6 linked regions of the Mus musculus genome follow. The protein of the gene in region 4 interacts with the protein of the main gene of each other region in a biochemical or structural test. Links are inferred from orthologs where the notes say so. Each region holds a gene or a part of one and is shown on either strand. Other genes may lie near its edges.

Region 1 (3,500 bases), on a different chromosome or scaffold from region 4:
ACCTGCCCAGTGCTCTGGTTGGCATCTGTTCCCTAAGCCCTCTTCCCAGTCCTGGAAGGGAGAGGAGAGCAGCAGGACTCGGCTTTGTGGACTAGGGCCTGAGGGTGGTTGGCTGGGGTCTGAAGGGTGACTAGGGTTTTCCTTTATCAAGTAAGGCCATTGTTGGGAATGGCCTCAGACGTGGCCTTAGCTGTTCTTCCATGAGGGTTCAGGTCTTTAGAGCGACACTGTGGAAAGCCTGTGTGCTCCAGTGTCTTGTGACTGGCCTTGATCTACATACATGGACCTCTCAGGCAAGCTGAGGAGGATAGGCTGCACCTAGCCTCACAGATGGGCTGCTGGCTCCTCCGGGTCCTGCCTGGGTGGTCTTGTGACCACGCCTAGCTGGCAAGTGGTAGCTCATTAAATGTCTGCTGTGGAGTCTGCTGAGAGGAGTGAAGCTACAGTGGAACGGAACAGGGCAGGACCAGAGTACTCTCAGCCCTCCCTTCCAGACAGCCCTCCTGTGGGTGCCTGCTGGGTGTGGGCCCTCACACCTACGTGGCCCCTGCCTCCTTCTTTCCCGGCTCCTCTGCTCAAGCCTTGTGTCCAGTCCTGGCAGACAGCATGTGTGTACATGGCCGCAGAGGCCACAGTCAGCCCCGGAATAACTTTGAGCTCTTTTTCCCAATCATAGTAGTATTGTGACACTGGATTCAAGAGGGTGGCGGCCAGGGAGAAAGCTGAGATCACAGAGCTTGGGTGTGAGGCTTGTTGTCTTACAGTCCGGTCTATGCATTCTCCCAGCTGGCTTAGGGCCCTCACTGTCTCCTGTCTTGGGGCTGCCTCCCCAGGAGATGGCAGGGAAGGAATACATCCACGGAGCAGCCCCTTGTGGCTGAGAGGCAGAGCCAGGCTGCAGACAGACAGTCCCTAGTACCTGTGGTGCCGGGGCTCCACTGGCCTCTCAGGTTTGCTGAGGGTTGTGTGGCTGGGAGATGTCACCCATTCCTTTGGACTCTGTCCTGGGGACCATGGGCTGCCGTCCCCTGTCCTTGCAGCCCTGGGCTTCCCTGCAGCCAGGCCTGCCAGGCCAGTGATGGGAAGCTGATTTGTCAGTGCCTTTCACTGAGCGCTTCACGGGCCCTTCACACGGGGCTGGGTGTTTAGACTGAACGTCACTGCTGAGCAGATGGTTTCTGTCAGCTGAAGGAAGCCCTTTAAAGCCGACAGTTCTCTCCTTATCGGATGCTTGGCTACTTCTTTTTTCAAAATCAGGAGTCTTGTATCCTGTTCTTGGGTACTCTTGCCCACCACACCCTGAGGTCAGAGGCTGTGACCCTGGCCCACCCGACAGGGTAGGCTTCCCAGCCTACTGTAAGGCCCACCTGAGTTCCTCACCTATAACAAGGCCTGGGTGTTCCTCTTCTGGGCAGAACTTTCTAGAAGGCTTCTGGTGATATCACCTCTACCTGCAACTTGGAATCCGGACCAAGCAAAGACCAGTCCAGCCCCAAGCTTGTACTTGCATGTTTGATAGGACTTCTCACCTGGGTGGCTACTGCTACCTTTAGAGATGGGGTCTGGCCCTATCTCAGCTCCCTCACCTTCCTGTTAAATGGCTCCTTTTCCTCTTCCCCCAGCACCTGCTCTCAGGGGTGGGGAAGACCTGATAGGCTTCCATGGTACAGATTACGTTTCCTTCAGCCATTGAGCTGTGTGACCCTAGTCTGTCTTGATGGGCCCCAGTCAGGTTTTGGGCAGCGCTGACTCTTATCTTCCTGCCTTTCCTGATTTGGAGGTTCCCCAGGCCCCCTGACTTGGGACTCCTGCCAGCTTCAGGTCAGCCATGTCCTCTAATCTGCTTTTCCTGATAACATCCCTTCTGACTTACAGCCTCCTGCTTCTTCTGATGACCACTGCCTTGGTACTAGTCCCGCTCCAATAAGCCAGGGCTTCCTCCAGCCTGTTACTATGGTGGATCTCTTCTCAGAGTCCTTTCACTGTGCCAGGCCTCCGATGGTTTGGGATGCAGATCCTGGGACCCCACTCCATGGGTGTTTTGTGTGGGGTGAGGTGGCTCTGTCGGCTATCAGGTGTGAGGTTTGATCAATGTCCTTTCTCCGTTCTAGCCAAATGACCCTGTTACCAACATCTGTCAAGCAGCAGACAAGCAGCTCTTCACTCTTGTGGAGTGGGCCAAGAGGATCCCACACTTTTCTGAGCTGCCCCTAGACGACCAGGTCATCCTGCTACGGGCAGGTGAGTAGCCTGGGCAAGTGGCTGCTAGTGGATCAGTGGGCTCCTGCCCACTCCTGCATGCGGTATAGCGCTACCTTCCCCTTCCAGCTTAGAAAGTCAGTAAAGGGTCTCCTCGGCTGCCCGCCAGGTCTATGTGACCTCTGCAGCCGTGTCACCTTGGAAGCTTCAGGCTTTTTTCTGAGCAGAGGTCTTGATGCAAGTGTCTGGAGCATAAGAGTGTGTGTCTCTCATAGCCAAGGGGACTGTCGGGAAGGAGTGTAGCCTTGGAACTTGGGCTGAGGCTAGGTCTGTAGGCTGCCCTGGTCCTTATTGATTAACTGGGCATTGGGGCATGCTGACTGTTGCTCAGAGTCCACCAGGTCACCAGTAGGGGTGTTAGGATCGAGAGACTTAGATCGCCAACCTGTGGAGAGATGGGGATATATTGAGAATGTCACCTGCAACTCTTGCTCGCCACAGAACTGTGGTGACAGTTGACACTACCCCACTCCGGTGAAGAGCCCTGGAGACCATGCTGTCTCGAGGGGACTGAGTGCCCTGACTTGCTTTGGTTTTCTGCTTGCACCAAGGGCTCTCAGCCTCAGCCCACCCCAGTAGATACCATGAGCAGAGATGGTTCCCTGTTGTTTTGGAACCTATTTAGTTGGGGTGAGGCTCGCATGGGCACTGATCTTCCTAACTTCCCTTTGAAAAGACCTCTTGGTAGGTATGGGTTGCTGAGATGAACAAGATGGATCCTGCCATGTTTGCCTCTGCCTAGGTGGGCTTGTGGGATGGGGCATGTGAACACAGGACTTCTCTGAGGCTGGGAAGCACTGTTCAGGGGGAACTGCCACGGCTGTAGGAACTGCAGAGCCATCTGGCCTTCTCGCTTAACACAGGTGTCCCAGTGAGCACTTGCCACTGAGGCATGTCAACCCATGTAGAAGGGACAGCTCTAGGGTGGAGCCTCGGGTGACCTGCTCAGTGTGGGGCTCAGGTGCCTAGAAATGAGATGAGGCAGAATTGGCCCCACATATCCTTATGGGGACCCTGAGGTCACATTTCTGGGCGTGATCTCCCCTGTGGCAAGAAGCTTATCAGCAGGCCCCACTTCTCAAATGCTGACTGCTTCCATTTCCCATTGTAAAAGGGGTCGGTAGGCTTGGAGCCGGGATATGGGAACCACAAGGCTTGGGAAGTTTCTGGACCTGCTGAAAGGCTCCTGCCACCTTGTCAAGGAGCCCCTGGCTGTTTGTGCAGAGTTCTGTCTTCTCTCC
Region 2 (3,500 bases), on a different chromosome or scaffold from region 4:
CTGATTCTGGCGTGGTGTCCCAGCGTACAAAAGGCCCTTTGGTTTTCCTATTTGTTAACTGGAGGCTGTGAACAGGGTAACCCTGATATTTTCAGTCCATGTGGGTTATTTAGCATGTGTACATGACCTAGAGATTGAGGAACATGTTCACACGGGACAGAGGGACGACACCATTAGGTGCCTGTCCAGAGGCTTTCTGTAGCACATGGGTACCTAGCAGAAGTCTTAGAGAATGCCCAGAAAATTGCATGCAATTGTAGATCCTAAGGCTTATTACCATACTTGGGTTTATGCTGAAGGCTGCATAGTTATTCACACTCGTGGGTGTGATATTGCATATATATATATATATATATATATATATATATATATACATACATTTGAAAGGTTATATAGATTTAAGAATATTCCAAGGAGTGTCCTATATATTGTGGCTGGAATGTATATGTGTGTATGTGCGCCTTAGAGCAGCGCCTTCCTGTGACGGGTGTCTGTGTGTTTGGGGACTTTTGAGCATTGCTTAAATGTGAGATGTGTGTGTTTGTGTTTTGGGGTCTCACAGCAATACCTGTCTGTGTGACTGTACTGGGCCCTCAAACATGGTTTTGGCCCCATCTAAGCCCCTTATCTCTCCCATGCAGCGACCAGATAGCTAGACCCTTTCCAAGCTTTGTCAGCTGATATAGGGGTGGGGGGTAGAATAAGGGCATAAGGAGGGGGGAGAAACCAAGCCTGGGGGAGTGGAAAGGGGTGAAGTCTCTTAGGTGGGAAGAGACTGCCCAGAGGCTACTCTGTGTGATTCTGCCCACTTTGCCCCATGCAGTGCCAGGTCACCAGATGGAAAGCGAAAAAGAAAGAACGGCCAATGTCCCCTGAAAAGCAGCATGTCAGGTGAGCCTGGCTACATGTGTCCCTTACCCTCCCACTTCCCCTCCCCCCACAGCACACTTGGCCTCCTCCCAGGCTAGGCCTGGACCTCCTGTGTCTCTGGAGGGAACAGCCTACAGAACATGGGTTGGATTTGTCTGGTGGTGAGAATAGTGATTCAAAACCTATTCTGGCCTTTGAGGAGGATGTAGGTCAGGAAGGGCCTCTTTGACCCTCCCATGACCTCCTCATCAATGGTTCCACCGGCCCCAGGGCATCTGTTCTCCTAAGATGGTTGCTTCTTCTCCAAGTCCCTTACTCTATTCTATCACTTAGATGTAACGTGGAAGAAAACAAAAGAGCCCTACCTAGGCCAAGTACAATGGCACCTACCTGCAGTTAGTGCTGTTTGGGATACCCATATAGGAGGATGGCTTGAACCAGGGGTTCAAGGCCTGCCTGGGGAACATAATAAGATCCAGGCTCAAAAATAAATACATGGAAGTGAGTTGGGTCCCTGAGTGGACAGTCAGAAAAAAAAAAGACTTCCATTATATATATCTGAAGGGAAAGGGAGGGGCAATCCCCACCCCCTCCTCCCCTGGTACGTCCCCAGGGTTTTTCCTTTCTACTTTGAGATAAGGAGCCCCTCCCTCCGTGGTGATGGACTGGGAGAGGGTTGAGAAAGGCCAAGTTGGGTGGGTACAGTGTAGGAGCTGCTCTGATGGGCTCCGCCCCATGCCCACTGCCTTCACCCTTTCCCCCTCCCAGGGTATATCCCTAGTTACCTGGACAAAGACGAGCAGTGTGTCGTGTGTGGGGACAAGGCCACCGGTTATCACTACCGCTGTATCACTTGTGAGGGCTGCAAGGTATGGATGAGCCGTCTCCCGTCCGCCCCTCTCCCGTTGCTGGTTCCCCTTTGAGTCTGATACCTGGCGTAATTCAGTCACATGTAACCTAGAGTGGACCGGTTGTATCCTTTTCTCTTCTGCATTTATCTGGTCACTTGTTCATTCATAACCCTTGCTGTGACACTCGTAGCTGTGACACTCGTATGCCATGTGTCTAACCTCTCTGAGCCTTGGTTTCTTCTTGCTACCTTCGTCATAGAGTTAATAAGCAAATTAAATGAGCTAATTCACCTGGCACGGCTTTAAGTAACTGCAGAGGGGTGGGAAGAGGATCTGGCAGAGGTGAGACTCGCGACTGTGATAGCCTTTAATACAGTGCCTAGCGCTGTCATAGGGTCAGACATCATTCATTCTTAGTGTGTTAGGAATGAGGGGTGTGAGGCTAAATGTACTGCACACCTGGGATTCTAGTACCTGGGAGACTGAGGCATAAAGATCATGAGTTCAAGGTCACCCTGGAATGTCTGGTTGGTTCTGGGCCAGCCTCAGCCACATGCCCAGTACAGTAGCACACAGATTTTATCCCAGTGCCCTGAAGGCACAGGCAGCCTAATGCCTGTGGGCTGAAGCCAACCTGATCCACACAGTGCATTCCAGACAATCCAAGGGTACACAGTGAGACCCTGTCTCAAAAAAAAAAAACAAAAAACAATAACAAAAACAAAAAAGAGCATGGTACACAGTATACATCATACTCTCAAACTCCTTGCAATCTACCAAAGAAGCAATCCACACAGGATCAGTGTCTTTCAGAACATAGGTCATGGAGGCTGGGGAGTTGGCCCTGTGGGAAAGTGCTTACTGTACAAGCGTGAGGATGCGAGTTCGGAGCCCCAGCTTCCACGCAGAGAGCTGAGCATGGCAGCATACCTGTCCGTGACCCAAAACTGTGAGACAGAAGCAGGAAGATGCCCGAGGCCTCCTGGCTAGCCAGTCCAGCTTGTCTGTCACATATGCTCCCTAGTGAGACCCTGTGTCACATAAAAAATGAGGTCCGGGGCTGGTGAGATGGCTCAATGGGTAAGAGCACCCGACTGCTCTTCTGAAGGTCCGGAGTTCAAATCCCAGCAACCACATGGTGGCTCACAACCATCTGTAATGAGATCTGACTCCCTCTTCTGAGTGTCTGAAGACAGCTATAGTGTATTTACATATAATAAATAAATAAATAAATAAATAAATATTTAAAAAAAAAAAAAAAGAGGTCCGAAAGGTGGAGAATGATTGAAGAGGACCCTAGGTGTTGACCTCTGGCCTCCAAGTGCACATACACAGGCACACACCCTGTGCATGCACACGCACATATGCTCTATACTGAAGATTCCTGGGCTACCGGCAGTAGTAAGTATACTGCAGATTCCCAAACTGTGTGTGTCCCCTACTTTGTCCAAACCTTATTGTGGTGGAGCCCAGGACTCTGCTTTTAACAGGAGTCCCAGGAGCTCCCAATGTATCCGGAAAAAACTAGGACCTGTGCTGAAGGGTCATGATGGGGACATAGAGGAGAAGATTGCCAAAGGTTCTTTTTAGCAGAGGATCAAAGGCCACAGACTTGGAAAAGCCTATTAGATACAACCTGTTTCAACCTGTATGGCTTTTCTGGGACCACCACCTCCTGCAGGTACAGGTCTTTCCAGAAGGAGATCATTTAAAAGTGAGACCAGGCATGGTGGCACATGCCTATAGCCCCATATTCAGAAGATGGAAGCAGAAGGATTA
Region 3 (3,950 bases), on a different chromosome or scaffold from region 4:
TACTCACACCGCAACTTCTCGATACTTATTTATATATTAGATATTTATGGTCATTGCTGATTGTTGAGGGAACTTGTCTAAGTCCCGATATAATGACCTTGAGTCTTTCCAAGCACAAAAACGTATAGTTGCAGCATGATATCATTAGTATTTTCTTTCTATTTCTTTCTTTGTACTGGCCCAAGTGCCACTCATATATCTCTTGGTAACTGCCTAGGGTCCTAGGGCTGGAGACCGGCCACTCCTGGCGTTGTGATTAGAGTCACTTAATACCTAAAGTAGTTACTAAACAACAAAGGCTCCTTTAGGCCTCCTGTGTCCTGGGACCCAGGGTGAGGACACAGTCAGAGTACCTTGTTAATCTGTGTTGTACTGTGGTGGAGAGAAGCACTGAGAACCAGGTGTATCCATGGGACAGCACTGGAGGTACAAGATCTCTGTCTGCAACCAATGCTGGTAACTACAGCTGTGAACGTGTAATCGCTTTAACGCAAAGCTATTTTATGGTTCCAACTTTACGATTAAAATAATGCCTCTTCTGGGATGTGTTTACAGACAGTAGTCAGTAGGCTATTGGTAGAGAGGCTGGTAGGTTTGACTAATGAAGTGAGGGAGTCTTGCATTTCAGTTGGAAACATATCCCTGGAATGCCAAAAATATTTATTGCGAAGTCTGACTTTTGTATGTTATTGGTAGCATTGTCACTGAGCATCTTATTCAGGGGAACAGTAGGGCTAGAGGGCTTGACTCATATGTATCCCAGAAGGCTTTTCTTGTTAAATGACATCGTTTAGGAAGAAGATATCCTGGCATAGTTTATAAACTTGATCTCTGCACACTTTGACTGGCATTCTAGTTTATCTGTGAGCCTGTGGTTCACAGCCATCTCAGTTTCCCTCTCCATAGAAAGCACCGGGACATTTCTGGCTCTACAGGTAGGGAGCAAAGGGGGCTGGAGTTTCTTCTAGGAATGCTGATTCTAGCGGGGCTACTGCTGTCCCTCAGCAGACAGCAAGGCTCCCGGACTCCCGCTGCCATTCATCCAGCTCGTGCAGGAGCCCAGCTGCCTTGTCTGCCGGGAGGGGCTGCCAAGTGCCCTGCCTACTGGCTGCTTCCCGAGAGTCCCTGCCACTCCACATACAAACACATCCACACACGCTCTGCCTTGATCACACACCGCGCCACTCGATCATTCGAGCACATTCCTTCCTTCCGTCTTACTGTCTCAGCCCTTGACTTCTACAAACCCATGGAACATTTCTGGAAAGACGCTCTTGAACCAGCAGGGTAGGATCGGCTTTTGATTTCTCTCTCTCTTTCTCTCTCTGTAGCTTGAGCGATTTGAGAAAGCAACTTACCTTTCTGCTTAGTGTCTGTCTCCTAGCTGGAGAAGGAAGCTGTGCTGTTTTTCTATGGGGGGAAATCTGTGCGGCTTTTTTTTTTTTTTTTCCCGCTTTCCGGACTTGTAGGATTCTCTGTGCCATTTATATATAATTTGGCAGGCTCAGATTTTTAAAGAGTCTCATCTGAAGTGCTTGCTTTTGCATGTGTTTTTTAAAAGGCATTTGAAAATTGAAAGTGTGATTTATGGGAACTAAATCATCTACGAAAAAATTGCTCTAGAAAGTCATGGTTGCTGGCCATAAAGAGAAATATCTGCGATTCACCTAATGTATTTTTAACCCTTCCTTTGCTGTCAATGATACTTATGGGTGCTAAAACTCATCTTTGTCTTTAGATTTAAGCCAGCTTAGCTGTGGTTTATCCAAAATTATCTGTTTTTCTAAGAATTAGATAAATAGTGTGCTTAGTAGAAAATATTTTTAAAGTGTTACTATTAGTAACAGCAACCTTGACATTTGCATGTGTCAGGTACTTCTCCTGGGTATATGGGCTAGCAATTCAAGTCATATGCTAATGGTTATTTTAGGGGATATTAGGTTGGGGCATATGCAGTTTATTAAGAAAGTACAAACTATCCAAGCTGCAATTTTTTTCTAAATTTGCAATAACAGGTGTGTGTGAGCTCAATCAGAATTTAATTCAATACTGAATAAAAAACTTATTTTAACTTCTCTGTCATTCGAGTATTAGATTCCTGTGTACCCTATGCCAAGGGAACCCAGAAGGTCCATTTGTAGAATTCAAGAGCTGAAAGGTAGGAGAGCCTTTCAAAAGTTTCTGGTTAGACAGACAAGGTTACCGGATCGCCAGAGCTTTAGTCAAGGACCTCAGGTGATATTTTATGGGAAAATGTCTTAGTCCTTGCATGGTTTTCCCAATTTTTGGTTGCATAACCTGTGGAAGGTAGGGACACCCAAGTGTGCCTAACCGAAGGTTTTTCTGAATCATATCCACATGAGAATTTCTAAAGGAAGCAAATTTGGCACCGGGGTCCAACAAAAACAGAAAAGCTAGGCTGGGCAAAATTGCCATGGCTGTGCTTTCTTGGGGAGCGTTTTAAAAAAATTATTATTTTTATTTTTTTGTCAGAAGAGGAAGCTGAAGGCTGGCAGTTTTCTCTTGACTCCAAGTGCAGCTCTTCCTATACATAGTCCATCTCCACTCGTCTGGCCCTAGATGCCTCCTATCTGTGTCCACTGGTGCTAAATATAGCTGTCGGTGGCTGGCTGCATATGCAATCACACACCCCATCCTATTTGCCATATCTCAGTTACAGATACAGTTACCGTCCCTCCAGGGTCATTCTATGCATACACTGCGTACTTCCAGCCAACAAGAAGACTGAATCAAATAGAAAGGAAGACAAAACAGAGACAGATTGGAGCTTGGCAGAGGCACACAGGCAACACATCAGGAAAAGAAAGAAAGAAAGAAAAAAAGAAAAGAAGAAAGAAAGAAAGAAAATGGCCTGTGGCTTAGTCTGCATTTGTTGCAAACCTAGTCTTCCTTGGGATGGGGGGAGTGGTAGGGGCGCGGCTCCTGGAGGTCCCTTTGCTGCTTTCACCCCCTGCAGCGAAATCCAGCAGCGAAGACCTGGAAAGTTAAGTTCAAGGAAGCTAGCGGTTCCTTGGGTGCACGCACAGTGTGATGTTCCCAGTAGTGCCTGGAAGCTGCAGCCCCTGGCCAGTGGCTTCCAGCAGGTTTGTCTAAGAGCAGAGGAGAGGAGTATGTAAAGTTGGAGAACCCGGGAGCGTCTGGGTGCGCTCCTTGGAGTTGGGTCACCTGTGTTCTGCAGGATAGCTCTGCCCCGCAGGGGCAGAGGCAGGGCCAGGGCCAGTACTCGTGCCAAGGGGGACTTGCGCTGCGCCTTCTCTAATCGCAGGCTCTACTCTTTTTTCCAGGTGGCCCACGCGCTGCTGAGCCCTCTGCGTGCGCGGGGAGCCAGTCTGTAACTCGCCGGCTGCCACTTACCATGACCATGACCCTTCACACCAAAGCCTCGGGAATGGCCTTGCTGCACCAGATCCAAGGGAACGAGCTGGAGCCCCTCAACCGCCCGCAGCTCAAGATGCCCATGGAGAGGGCCCTGGGCGAGGTATACGTGGACAACAGCAAGCCCACTGTGTTCAACTACCCCGAGGGCGCCGCCTACGAGTTCAACGCCGCCGCCGCCGCCGCCGCCGCCGCCTCGGCGCCGGTCTACGGCCAGTCGGGCATCGCCTACGGCCCCGGGTCGGAGGCGGCCGCCTTCAGTGCCAACAGCCTGGGGGCTTTCCCCCAGCTCAACAGCGTGTCGCCTAGCCCGCTGATGCTGCTGCACCCGCCGCCGCAGCTGTCTCCTTTCCTGCACCCGCACGGCCAGCAGGTGCCCTACTACCTGGAGAACGAGCCCAGCGCCTACGCCGTGCGCGACACCGGCCCTCCCGCCTTCTACAGGTACCCGCGCCACATCGGGGTGGCCGCTGTGTAAGGCCTGGCCGGGGGAGGGAGCGCACGAGGGGGGTCACCGCGGGCTGCAGGTCTCCCCATCCCAGCCCTCGGGGAAG
Region 4 (3,073 bases):
TCATCGAAAGCCCCAGTACCAACAGGACTACCCCAGTGAGCACTCCACCACTGTATACAGCCAGCCAAGCAGAGTCTCCCATCAATCTTTCCCAGCACTCTCTGGTCATCAAGTGGAATTCCCCGCCGTATGCCTGCAGTACTCCCGCTTCCAAGCTCACGAACACCGCGCCTAGCCACCTGATGGACCTCACGAAAGGCAAAGAGTCCCAAGCCGAGAAACCAGCCCCGAGTGAAGGTGCACAAAATTCCGCCACGTTCAGTGCCAGTAAACTGTTACAAAATTTGGCTCAGTGCGGATTGCAGTCTTCCGGGCCAGGGGAAGAGCAGAGACCCTGCAAACAGCTGTTAAGTGGAAACCCAGACAAACCTCTCGGTCTGATTGATAGATTAAACAGCCCTCTGCTCTCAAATAAAACCAATGCGGCTGAAGAGAGCAAAGCCTTCAGCAGTCAGCCTGCCGGGCCTGAGCCGGGACTTCCTGGTTGTGAGATAGAAAATCTCTTGGAAAGACGGACTGTCCTTCAGTTGCTCCTGGGAAATTCCAGCAAAGGGAAGAATGAGAAGAAAGAGAAAACCCCCGCACGAGACGAGGCTCCTCAGGAGCATTCGGAGAGGGCTGCAAATGAACAGATACTCATGGTGAAGATTAAATCCGAGCCTTGTGACGACTTCCAGACCCACAACACAAACCTGCCCTTAAACCACGATGCCAAGAGCGCCCCCTTCTTAGGTGTGACTCCCGCCATCCACAGGAGCACAGCGGCCTTACCAGTGTCGGAGGACTTTAAATCCGAGCCTGCTTCACCTCAGGATTTCTCTTTCTCAAAGAACGGGCTGTTGAGTCGCTTGCTGAGACAGAATCAAGAGAGTTACCCGGCAGATGAGCAGGACAAGAGTCACAGAAACAGTGAGCTGCCAACCCTGGAGTCGAAGAACATCTGCATGGTCCCGAAGAAAAGGAAGCTGTATACGGAACCACTGGAGAATCCATTTAAAAAGATGAAAAATACTGCCGTAGATACTGCCAATCATCACAGCGGCCCGGAAGTACTCTACGGGTCGTTGCTTCATCAGGAAGAGCTGAAGTTTAGCAGGAATGAGCTCGATTATAAATACCCTGCTGGGCATAGTTCAGCCAGCGATGGTGACCACAGGAGTTGGGCCAGAGAGAGCAAAAGCTTCAATGTTCTCAAGCAGCTGCTGCTCTCCGAGAACTGTGTGCGAGATCTGTCCCCACACAGGAGTGACTCTGTCCCCGACACGAAAAAGAAAGGACACAAAAACAACGCGCCCGGCAGCAAACCTGAATTCGGCATTTCTTCTTTAAATGGACTGATGTATAGTTCCCCGCAGCCTGGCAGTTGTGTGACGGATCATAGGACATTTTCATACCCGGGAATGGTAAAGACCCCTCTGAGCCCTCCTTTCCCAGAGCACTTGGGCTGTGTGGGGTCCAGACCAGAACCTGGGCTTTTGAATGGATGTTCCGTGCCCGGTGAGAAGGGACCCATTAAGTGGGTCATCGCAGATATGGATAAGAATGAATACGAAAAAGACTCTCCAAGACTGACCAAAACTAATCCGATCCTCTATTACATGCTCCAGAAGGGAGGGGGCAATTCTGTTACCACACAAGAAACCCAGGACAAAGACATCTGGAGGGAGCCTGCGTCAGCCGAGAGTCTCTCACAGGTTACAGTCAAAGAAGAGCTACTTCCCGCTGCAGAAACTAAAGCTTCTTTCTTTAATCTAAGAAGCCCGTACAATAGCCATATGGGAAATAATGCTTCTCGCCCACACAGTACAAATGGAGAAGTGTATGGACTTCTGGGAAACGCGCTCACCATAAAAAAAGAGTCAGAATAAATGTGTACCTGCCATACCACTTTGGGTCTTTTTAAAATTTAGTCAGTATGAACTTGAGATCTGTATAAATAAGAGCATGATTTGAGAAAAGCATGGTATAACTGAAACTCCTTCCTTTTGAAAGTATTGGTCACTGGTGATGTTTAAATATGCATACTAATTTTTGCTTAACATTAGATGTCATGAGGAAACAATTGAACTCGAGGTTGGTTGTTTACTATTTCTGTATGCATCAGATAACAACTGTGACTAGCCTACGAATGAACCTGTTTTTATAATCGTAAATAAGAGGCATACATTAAAATGCACAACTTCACCAGTAGTGGATTGATGCAACTTGCTGTCTTTATTAGGGTTGTTCATTTCCCATCTCAGAAGCCAGCCTACATAACGTGTTTGTAACATCCAAACTGTTAGCTATTTGGAAGATAACCAAATTAGGAAAAAAAAAAAAACCCAGAAGCCTTGTGCTGATTCACACCTCATCAGTCTAAAAGTAAGAAAAAGCAATGCTTACATTTTTTCACTTTTGCTAAACAAAATTCTTTTTAACTCTTGGAAGGGGTTTTGCGGTTCCCAATGAGTCTGCCCCACCCCAGACCTTTTCAATATATATATTTCTTTAAACCTTTTACTATTTAGTAACAATTGATTACAATAGAGGGGAGTTTAATAGATCCTTAAAAATAAAAGGCAGATTTCCATTTTTTTATATTTTGACTACTTTACTAAATTAATACTCCTCCTTTTTCAAAATTAGAGAAGGAAATCTTCACTCACCTTCAGGCTGTTTCCTGGACAATTGACTACTTAGAAATCGTTTTTAACAAAAGCAGAAATGGGTTTTCTTTGGATGGTTTTTACCGTCTCTTTTGAAAGTTGATCCTCACCACTCCTGTGGGACCCGTGACTTTACAACCAGGATTTCTTAATTCTGGACAGAGACACTGCATTCATCTGACTATCACATGAGTCTCTGGAACAGTTATTTAAATGCAGACTCCTAGGCAGCATCTCAGGTCTACAGAACACCGTCTCCAAGTGGACCCGGGCGTCCTCCTTCCGCCTGTATCCTGACATGTTCTGTATGTGCTTCTTCCGCACACTGATGTTTGAAAACTGTGGCTTAGGACTTTTCCAGAACATGAGACTTTAAAGTAACTATCTGATGCCTATACTTTTCCCCCAATACAGTCACATATCCA
Region 5 (3,500 bases), on a different chromosome or scaffold from region 4:
GATGTGACCTCTCTGCCTTCTGCCAAGGCTCAGTCTGCTTATCTCCTATTACTCCTCTTTATCGTCTCTCCTGCCCTGCTTCTTCCATCTGGGCACAAGGGTATCTGCGCCTATGCCTGAGATGGGGACAGAGAATGCTCAACCCTGCTGGGCCTCTTTCTGGGTCACCCACATGGGTCTCTATTTACTTTGTTGCCACTGTGACCGTCTTATAGGTTTTTTTTTTCCCCCACCCAGGCATCCAGAAGTTCTAAGGGGCCCCAGAGAACTTTCTAGATCCCCCTGCCTGGTTTCACCTGGGTGATTCTGTCTGACTATCTGTCCCATGAGTATCTGTCACCTTGGCAGGCATGAGGGGCTCTGGCACTGCGTTTTAGTTTACTCCTTGGAAAGAGTGATGGAGAGGGAAATGTGAGGAGAGATGGGGAGTAGCCGCGGTCAGAGGCTGGGTCTCAGTTCTAACAGTGATGGGGCTCAGGACAAGCAGAGAGGCCTAGGCTAGGGACCCAGAGGAGATGGGTAAGGACTGGCAGAAGCAGGCCCCCCCTGCTCTCCTGCCCTGTGTGTTGGAGCAGGGGTGGGTGGGTGGGGTCCCGAGGAGCCTGCATGACTGTCTGGATGCTCTTTCCTTTTGACCCTCTGTCTTTGGTAGGATTACTATGGCTGTGTTGAAACGCAAAACCAAAACCAAAAGCAATTTAGGCGTGAAAGGGTTTCTTTGGCTTACATATCCTGAGCTACAGTCATTGAGGGAAGTCAACACAGAAACTCAAAGTGGGCAGGAACCCAGAGGCAGGAGCTGATGCAGAGGCCAAGGAGGATGCTGCTTACTGGCTTGTTCCCCATGGCTTGAGCAGCCTGCCTTTTTATAGAACCAGGACCACCAGCTTAGAACAGTGGCGTGTTTCCCCCCACACTAATCACCAATTAAGTAAATGCCCTGTAGGTCTCCTTCCAGCTCAACCGTATGGATACATTTTTCCAGCTGAGGTTCCCTCCTCTCAGTTGACTCTAGCTGTGTCAAGTTGACATAAGACTAGCCCACACACCTGTCCTCTCCTTTCTCATCACCTGCCTGAGGACGCCCCAGAGAAGAGGGAAAGGCTGCTAAACTGAGGGCAGAGCTAGTTTTTACGTCTAGTTATCTCTCCTTGGGCTTGAGGGAAGGATGAAGCTTTATGGAGTGAGTGTCCTTCATCAGCCTCTTGCTGATGCCTGAAGGGCCAACAGTGGCATGGGGGAAGCCAGTCCTGCCCTCTCATACTCCAAAGTACCAGGAAAGACAGGCATGGATTGGTGCCATCTTAGCTCCAAAGGGTAGTGAGAAAGCAGGGTTGAGCTGGGGCTTCATGGACAAGGTAACCAGTCTGTAGGAGACTCTGAAGTCCTGGTGGCAAGTGGGACAAGCGGGGAGGTTGTCTTCTATGTCTGGTAAAGAGCATGGACCTAGACTCACACTGAGCTGTACAACCATAGGTGCCTTGCCTGAGCTCAGTGCTCAATTTCTTCTCTCTGTAAAATGATGGGGACTGTCAACGGGGTTGACATGCAGCAAGGCTGGTGGTAGTCACTGCAAGGTGTGGTCCAGAGAGAGCTGGGAGGATCTAGCCAACCTCAATCCCATTCCTGGAAAACCCATGTGGTAGAAAAAGAGAATTGGCCTCTATATGCACACTGTGGTACACACACACACACACACACACACACACACACAAGTGTAAAACAATTATTTTAAAAAGAAAGGCTTTGGGCTGGGTGGGGAAAAAGGAGGTGAGTGGGGATAGGGCAGTGAGGGAAGAGAGGTTGGGTATAGGGGTGAAGGAGGAGATGGCAAAGTGTCTCTGGCTGTAGTTATCATGGCACTAAGCAGAAGTTGCTCCTGTTGGAAGCATCTGTCTTTTCTGTGGGAGGATGCAATGACCCCAGAGTTGGGAGATACTCAGCAGGGACTGTCTTCCCCTGGGCTCCAAGGCCCAACTGCACCCTGATCGTTAGAATCTACCTTGCTCATTGTTCTGTTATCGCTGCAGACAGCTGAGAGCCCATGAGCCAAGTAGCTCCTCTATCTTCCCCAGGAGCCTAGGTACCTCTGCAGCTCCCCCCAGGGACCCTGCAGGGGCAGCCATGATCACAGGTCCTCTACTGGGCATAAGTGGTGAGGGTTGGTCTTCACAGCATTAACTCCTAGTCTTTGACATTTCCTGGGTGTGGGATATGTGACTGGCCCTCTCCAAACACCGGGAGTCACTGAACGATTGAAAACATGGAGGTCCAGAAAAACTCTGGGACACGTGTGAGGTCACACATCTAATGGGGGCCTGAAGGAGGCCCTCACTGGGACCCAATGAAGCAAACAGCTGGGAAGATAGTCTCCATCTGAGACTTTGAGCAGAGAGTTGAGAGAAGGGCCCGGAGGACAGTCCCCAGCTAGACCTCTGCATTATTCTTCCCTACAGGTGGCTGACCAGATGACACTGCTGCAGAACTGTTGGAGCGAGCTGCTGGTGTTGGACCACATCTACCGCCAGGTCCAGTACGGCAAGGAAGACAGCATCCTGCTGGTTACTGGACAGGAGGTAACTGAACTGGTCAAACCCCTAGTCCTGCATAATCCCAGGCCTCTCCAGGCTGACTCGGGACACCCCAAATTCCAAATTCAGGGACATGCACTAGCCAGGCTTCTCTGTGTCCTGGGGCCATTTGAGGAGCCACAGTGTGGAATGGTCAGTGGAAGTTCTTATAGGAGATAACAGTGGAATTGGATCTCCCCAAAATAAGGCAGAGTTGGTCAGCTGGTACTGAAGTGACAGGTGGCAGTCTATGCTGTCACACATGTGGATGCTGCAGGATCTAGGACTCTGAGAAGGGATTCGGAATAGGGCCAAGGAACTGTGGGGTGGCAAGTGTAAGAGATGAGGTTGCAGGCATTGCTAAGGGCTGGTGAGCAGGTGAGACCCTGTAGGTCTCCATTCTCATAAATGATGAATGAATAAATGAATGAACGAATGAACGAAGGAACACAAGAGTGGGCGAAAAGTAAAGAGAGCTCAGACTCAGAATTTGGCCCTTTTAGATCAGAGAATGTATTACGGGGTGGGAAGTCATTAGGAAGGCCTGGAAACTCCTGAACTCCACCTCCACCCACAGGAGGGACATTAGGGTTCCTAGTGGATGTGGGTGAAGGAGCCTAAAGTGCTGGGGTTTGGGACACATTTAAAGAGGACAGCACAGAGATGGTGAGAGGAGGTATAGGGAAAGAAGTAGGAGGAAGAAAAGAAAATCTCTGGAGACAGGAGAGTGGCCTCATGAGGGGACACAGGTTGAATAGTGGGCACAGTGGGTTCTGGAACAAAATGCAGATCAAGGTCCTACTTCCTGCCCCTGCCTCTCAGGACCTATGTCCTCATTTTGGGTTCATATCTCCCATGTTTCAGTCCACTGGAAGAAGGAATGGGGATGCTGATCAAAAGGGGTTACTCTGGGCCACAAGAGTGCAAAAA
Region 6 (3,255 bases), on a different chromosome or scaffold from region 4:
TCCAGAACATTCCAAGAGTGTGCAGTTGGACTTCCCTGGAAGGGATTTTGAACCGTCCCTGCATCCCACTACTTCTAATTTAGATTTTGTCAGTTGTTTACAAGTTCCTGAAAACCAAAGTCATGGGATAAACTCACAGTCCGCCATGGTCAGTCCTCAGGCATACTATGCTGGGGCCATGTCCATGTATCAGTGCCAGCCAGGGCCACAGCGCACCCCTGTGGACCAGACGCAGTACAGCTCTGAAATTCCAGGTTCTCAGGCATTCCTAAGCAAGGTAAGGGCTTTCGACAGCTGAAAAAACCTTGTAGGCCTAAGCATCTCTGTATTACACTTAAACATATCATCATAACCCATTTTAGATAGCAAGCAACTTCGGAACTGCTTTCGTTATATTTATGGTCACGTAATTAACTTCATTATAGTTTACTTAAAATAGTATGAATAATAAATTATTTTAAATAATTTTCTTAAAAGCAAGTTGATGTTTAGATAATTTAATAACTGTTCTTTGTTACCCCCTCAGGAGGATATCATGCTTATATTAATAAATTTCTCTTTACAAATATTAGCTTATTTGAAGATATACTGGTTTAGATTGTAAGAATATCTTGACTAACATGAAGTTTATTAAGTAACTATTCATGAGCTGTTTGAGTATAGCCATTTAAAAGTGTGGCTTAAATCACAGTCCTGGTTGCTTTTTAGATTGTGAGTGAATCTGCTGTGTCTGATTGTATGGGACTTTTTTTTTTTTGAATGGAGAATGAAGATGATAGTTTTGGTCAATCTTTTTCCTGAAAATTTTTAGGAAAAAGATTTCCTAAAAATTTTTAATAGTTATTATAAAGAAAATGGATTAACCATACTTTGGATATAATTTACTCATAAAAGAATAGAATATTAGTATTTGCCTCAAAGCGGTGTGTCTGAAGGACATTATAGAATATAGAGAGCATCCATGTGTGCAAACCTCCAAGGCTGATCCCTCAGATGCTGGAAATGGCCGCAGAGTGGGGCTGGCTATTGGGTAGTAACAGACAGATAGTGGGAGTAACTTCGGCTCTTCTACAACATAGCAGGATGACAGAAGTTCACAACAGTTCATTGCATGATTCAAAATCACTAGAAAAAAAGGAAATCAAAGGTTCTTCATGCAAATAACAGATGAGTGTTCACAGTGAAAGATAATTGCCTGATTTGCTTACACACTATATAGATGAATTGAAATGTCACATTGTAACCTGTTCATATGAGTAATTGTGCGGCAGTGAAAAAAATAACAACATTTCTAGCCTGGAGAGATGGCTTGGCAATTAACATTTGCTTACCCTTCTTGATCCCCAGCACCCACATGGGAGCTCAGAACAGTCCACAGTTTCCACTTCCAGGCACCCAGTGCTCTCTCTGCACCCTTGAGCACTGCATACTTGTGTTGCACATGCACGTGTGTGTGTGTGTGTGTGTGTGTGTGTGTGTGTGTGTGTGTGTATACATACAAACATACATCATGCAGGCAAAACAACTATACACATAATATTTTATTCTTAATTTATTATTTTTGAAATGAACCATAATTGTATTCCTTTTCTGTTTCCCTTTTTTTTCTACAACCTTTCCCATCTACCATGTTTGCTCTCTTTCAGTTTCTTGGCCTCTTTTCTTTCATTGCTCTGTGTGTGTGTGTGTTCCTAAATATTTAAATACAACCTGCACAGTCTGTATATTACCTGTAGGACAACCCTGAGCAGCAACTCAAAAGGGTTTTTCTCATGCCTGGTGTTGGGGCTGTAGAGTGAATTTGAAGACAGTCTGGAAAATGGTGAGACACAGAACAAAAGGTCAAGAGTATAGCTAGCTCAGTGGTCGAGCCGGGTTAGCATGCACAAGGCCCTTCACTGGACCTCCAGCACTACACAAGAAGTGAGTAATTTGAGGCAACTAAAGGGATAATTTTATGATTTTTATTTTAATCTCAGTTTATTTCATCAACTACACCACAATGTGAAGTTTCTGTAGACTATAACTGTTATATTCGTTCTTCACTGTTTTAGCAGTTCTGGATATGAGACTGGTAAGAAGGCAGGTGTCTTAGTTAGGGTGTGAGGAAACAGCGTGACCAAAAGCTGTCTGAGAAGAAAGAGTTTAAATCACTCACAGCTCCACATAACAGGTCATCATCAAAAGCAGTAGGGTCAGGACCTCAAGCAGGGCAGGAACCTGGAGGCAGAAGCTCATGCAGAGGCCATGGCAGAGTACTTTCTACTGGATTGCCTTCTATTGCTTGCTCAGCCTGCTTTCTTATAGAGCCACACAATAGGCTGAGCCTACATCAATCACTAATTAAGAAAATGCCCTACAGGCTTGCCTGCCTACAGCCAGATTAGTGGAGGCATTTTCTCAATTGAGGCTGTCTCCCCTCAGTGACCTTAGCCGAGTCAAGTTGACATAAAACTAGCCAAACAACTGACTCCTTGTCAACCTGACACAAAACATTTTTCAGACAGAACCTTTCCTTTCGCATTTATCCCCAAGATAGCACATTAATATTACTACCACAATATAAAACATAAATGACTTTAAAAGTCCCACAGTCTTTACAAATGTGAGCACATTAAAAGTTCAATCTCTTTGAAATAACCATTCTCTTTAAAAAATTGGTTTTGTTTGTTTGTTTTTAAAAAAAGCCTTCAGCCCGTGCTGGGGCTACAGTTTGATCTTTTCTCAATTGAGAAATTCCTCTCTGATGCAACTAGCTAACCAAGCATCTTTTTTATTTGGTAACTTGCAGAACAATTTATTAAACACATTTTACAAATAAATTGGATTAAGATCATACCTGTAGTGTAACATTGCAAGAATAGCAAGAAACATTTAAAATCCAGATCTGGGCAAAAGTGCTGGTGTCTGAAATGCTGTGTAGAAGTTCGGATAGAATCAGTTCACTGCCTCCAGGTTTTTGATTGGTTGTGGCAGGACTGAATAACCCTTTGACACCCCATGTCACATAATTTCCCATCAGGCCCCAAGGCAGACGAAGTGAGATAGTTGTAGCGTTCGCTGTACCATCTTTAAATTATCTTGTAGGACTAATGAGAAAACCTGATCTTCCAAAAGAAGTCAGTGTGTGAGCGTTTCCTCTGTGTGATTTGAATGACGAAAGACTTAGCCATGAGCATCATCAGTACAGGACTGTAAAGTGAAACAACCCATAGGTCTAACAGACTAAAAGTCGTTTTTAAGGTCTTCCTCAGA

What was found.
Region 1: the proteins of Nrip1 (region 4) and Rxra form a complex in vitro, tested with the Homo sapiens proteins (2 studies listed by BioGRID). The link is inferred for Mus musculus from reciprocal best matches to the Homo sapiens genes NRIP1 and RXRA.
Region 2: the proteins of Nrip1 (region 4) and Thra form a complex in vitro, tested with the Homo sapiens proteins (4 studies listed by BioGRID). The link is inferred for Mus musculus from reciprocal best matches to the Homo sapiens genes NRIP1 and THRA.
Region 3: the proteins of Nrip1 (region 4) and Esr1 form a complex in vitro, tested with the Homo sapiens proteins (4 studies listed by BioGRID, with this or other methods). The link is inferred for Mus musculus from reciprocal best matches to the Homo sapiens genes NRIP1 and ESR1.
Region 5: the proteins of Nrip1 (region 4) and Nr5a1 form a complex in vitro, tested with the Homo sapiens proteins (2 studies listed by BioGRID). The link is inferred for Mus musculus from reciprocal best matches to the Homo sapiens genes NRIP1 and NR5A1.
Region 6: the proteins of Nrip1 (region 4) and Ahr form a complex in vitro, tested with the Homo sapiens proteins (2 studies listed by BioGRID). The link is inferred for Mus musculus from reciprocal best matches to the Homo sapiens genes NRIP1 and AHR.

What each region holds. Positions count from the first base shown.
Region 1 is NC_000068.7:27,750,201-27,753,700, forward strand, and holds part of Rxra (retinoic acid receptor RXR-alpha), read left to right. Parts: intron 1-2,111; coding exon 2,112-2,241; intron 2,242-3,500. UniProt on the Homo sapiens protein: Receptor for retinoic acid that acts as a transcription factor.
Region 2 is NC_000077.6:98,755,285-98,758,784, forward strand, and holds part of Thra (thyroid hormone receptor alpha), read left to right. Parts: intron 1-823; coding exon 824-891; intron 892-1,638; coding exon 1,639-1,739; intron 1,740-3,500.
Region 3 is NC_000076.6:4,709,008-4,712,957, forward strand, and holds the start of Esr1 (estrogen receptor), read left to right. Parts: upstream 1-1,150; 5' UTR 1,151-1,287; intron 1,288-2,958; exon of another isoform or gene 2,959-3,104; intron 3,105-3,305; 5' UTR 3,306-3,376; coding exon 3,377-3,840; intron 3,841-3,950.
Region 4 is NC_000082.6:76,289,977-76,293,049, reverse strand, and holds part of Nrip1 (nuclear receptor-interacting protein 1), read left to right. Parts: coding exon 1-1,868; 3' UTR 1,869-3,073. UniProt on the Homo sapiens protein: Modulates transcriptional activation by steroid receptors such as NR3C1, NR3C2 and ESR1. Also modulates transcriptional repression by nuclear hormone receptors.
Region 5 is NC_000068.7:38,701,043-38,704,542, reverse strand, and holds part of Nr5a1 (steroidogenic factor 1), read left to right. Parts: intron 1-2,456; coding exon 2,457-2,576; intron 2,577-3,500. UniProt on the Homo sapiens protein: Transcriptional activator. Essential for sexual differentiation and formation of the primary steroidogenic tissues. Binds to the Ad4 site found in the promoter region of steroidogenic P450 genes such as CYP11A, CYP11B and CYP21B.
Region 6 is NC_000078.6:35,500,735-35,503,989, reverse strand, and holds part of Ahr (aryl hydrocarbon receptor), read left to right. Parts: coding exon 1-277; intron 278-3,255. UniProt on the Homo sapiens protein: Ligand-activated transcription factor that enables cells to adapt to changing conditions by sensing compounds from the environment, diet, microbiome and cellular metabolism, and which plays important roles in development, immunity and cancer.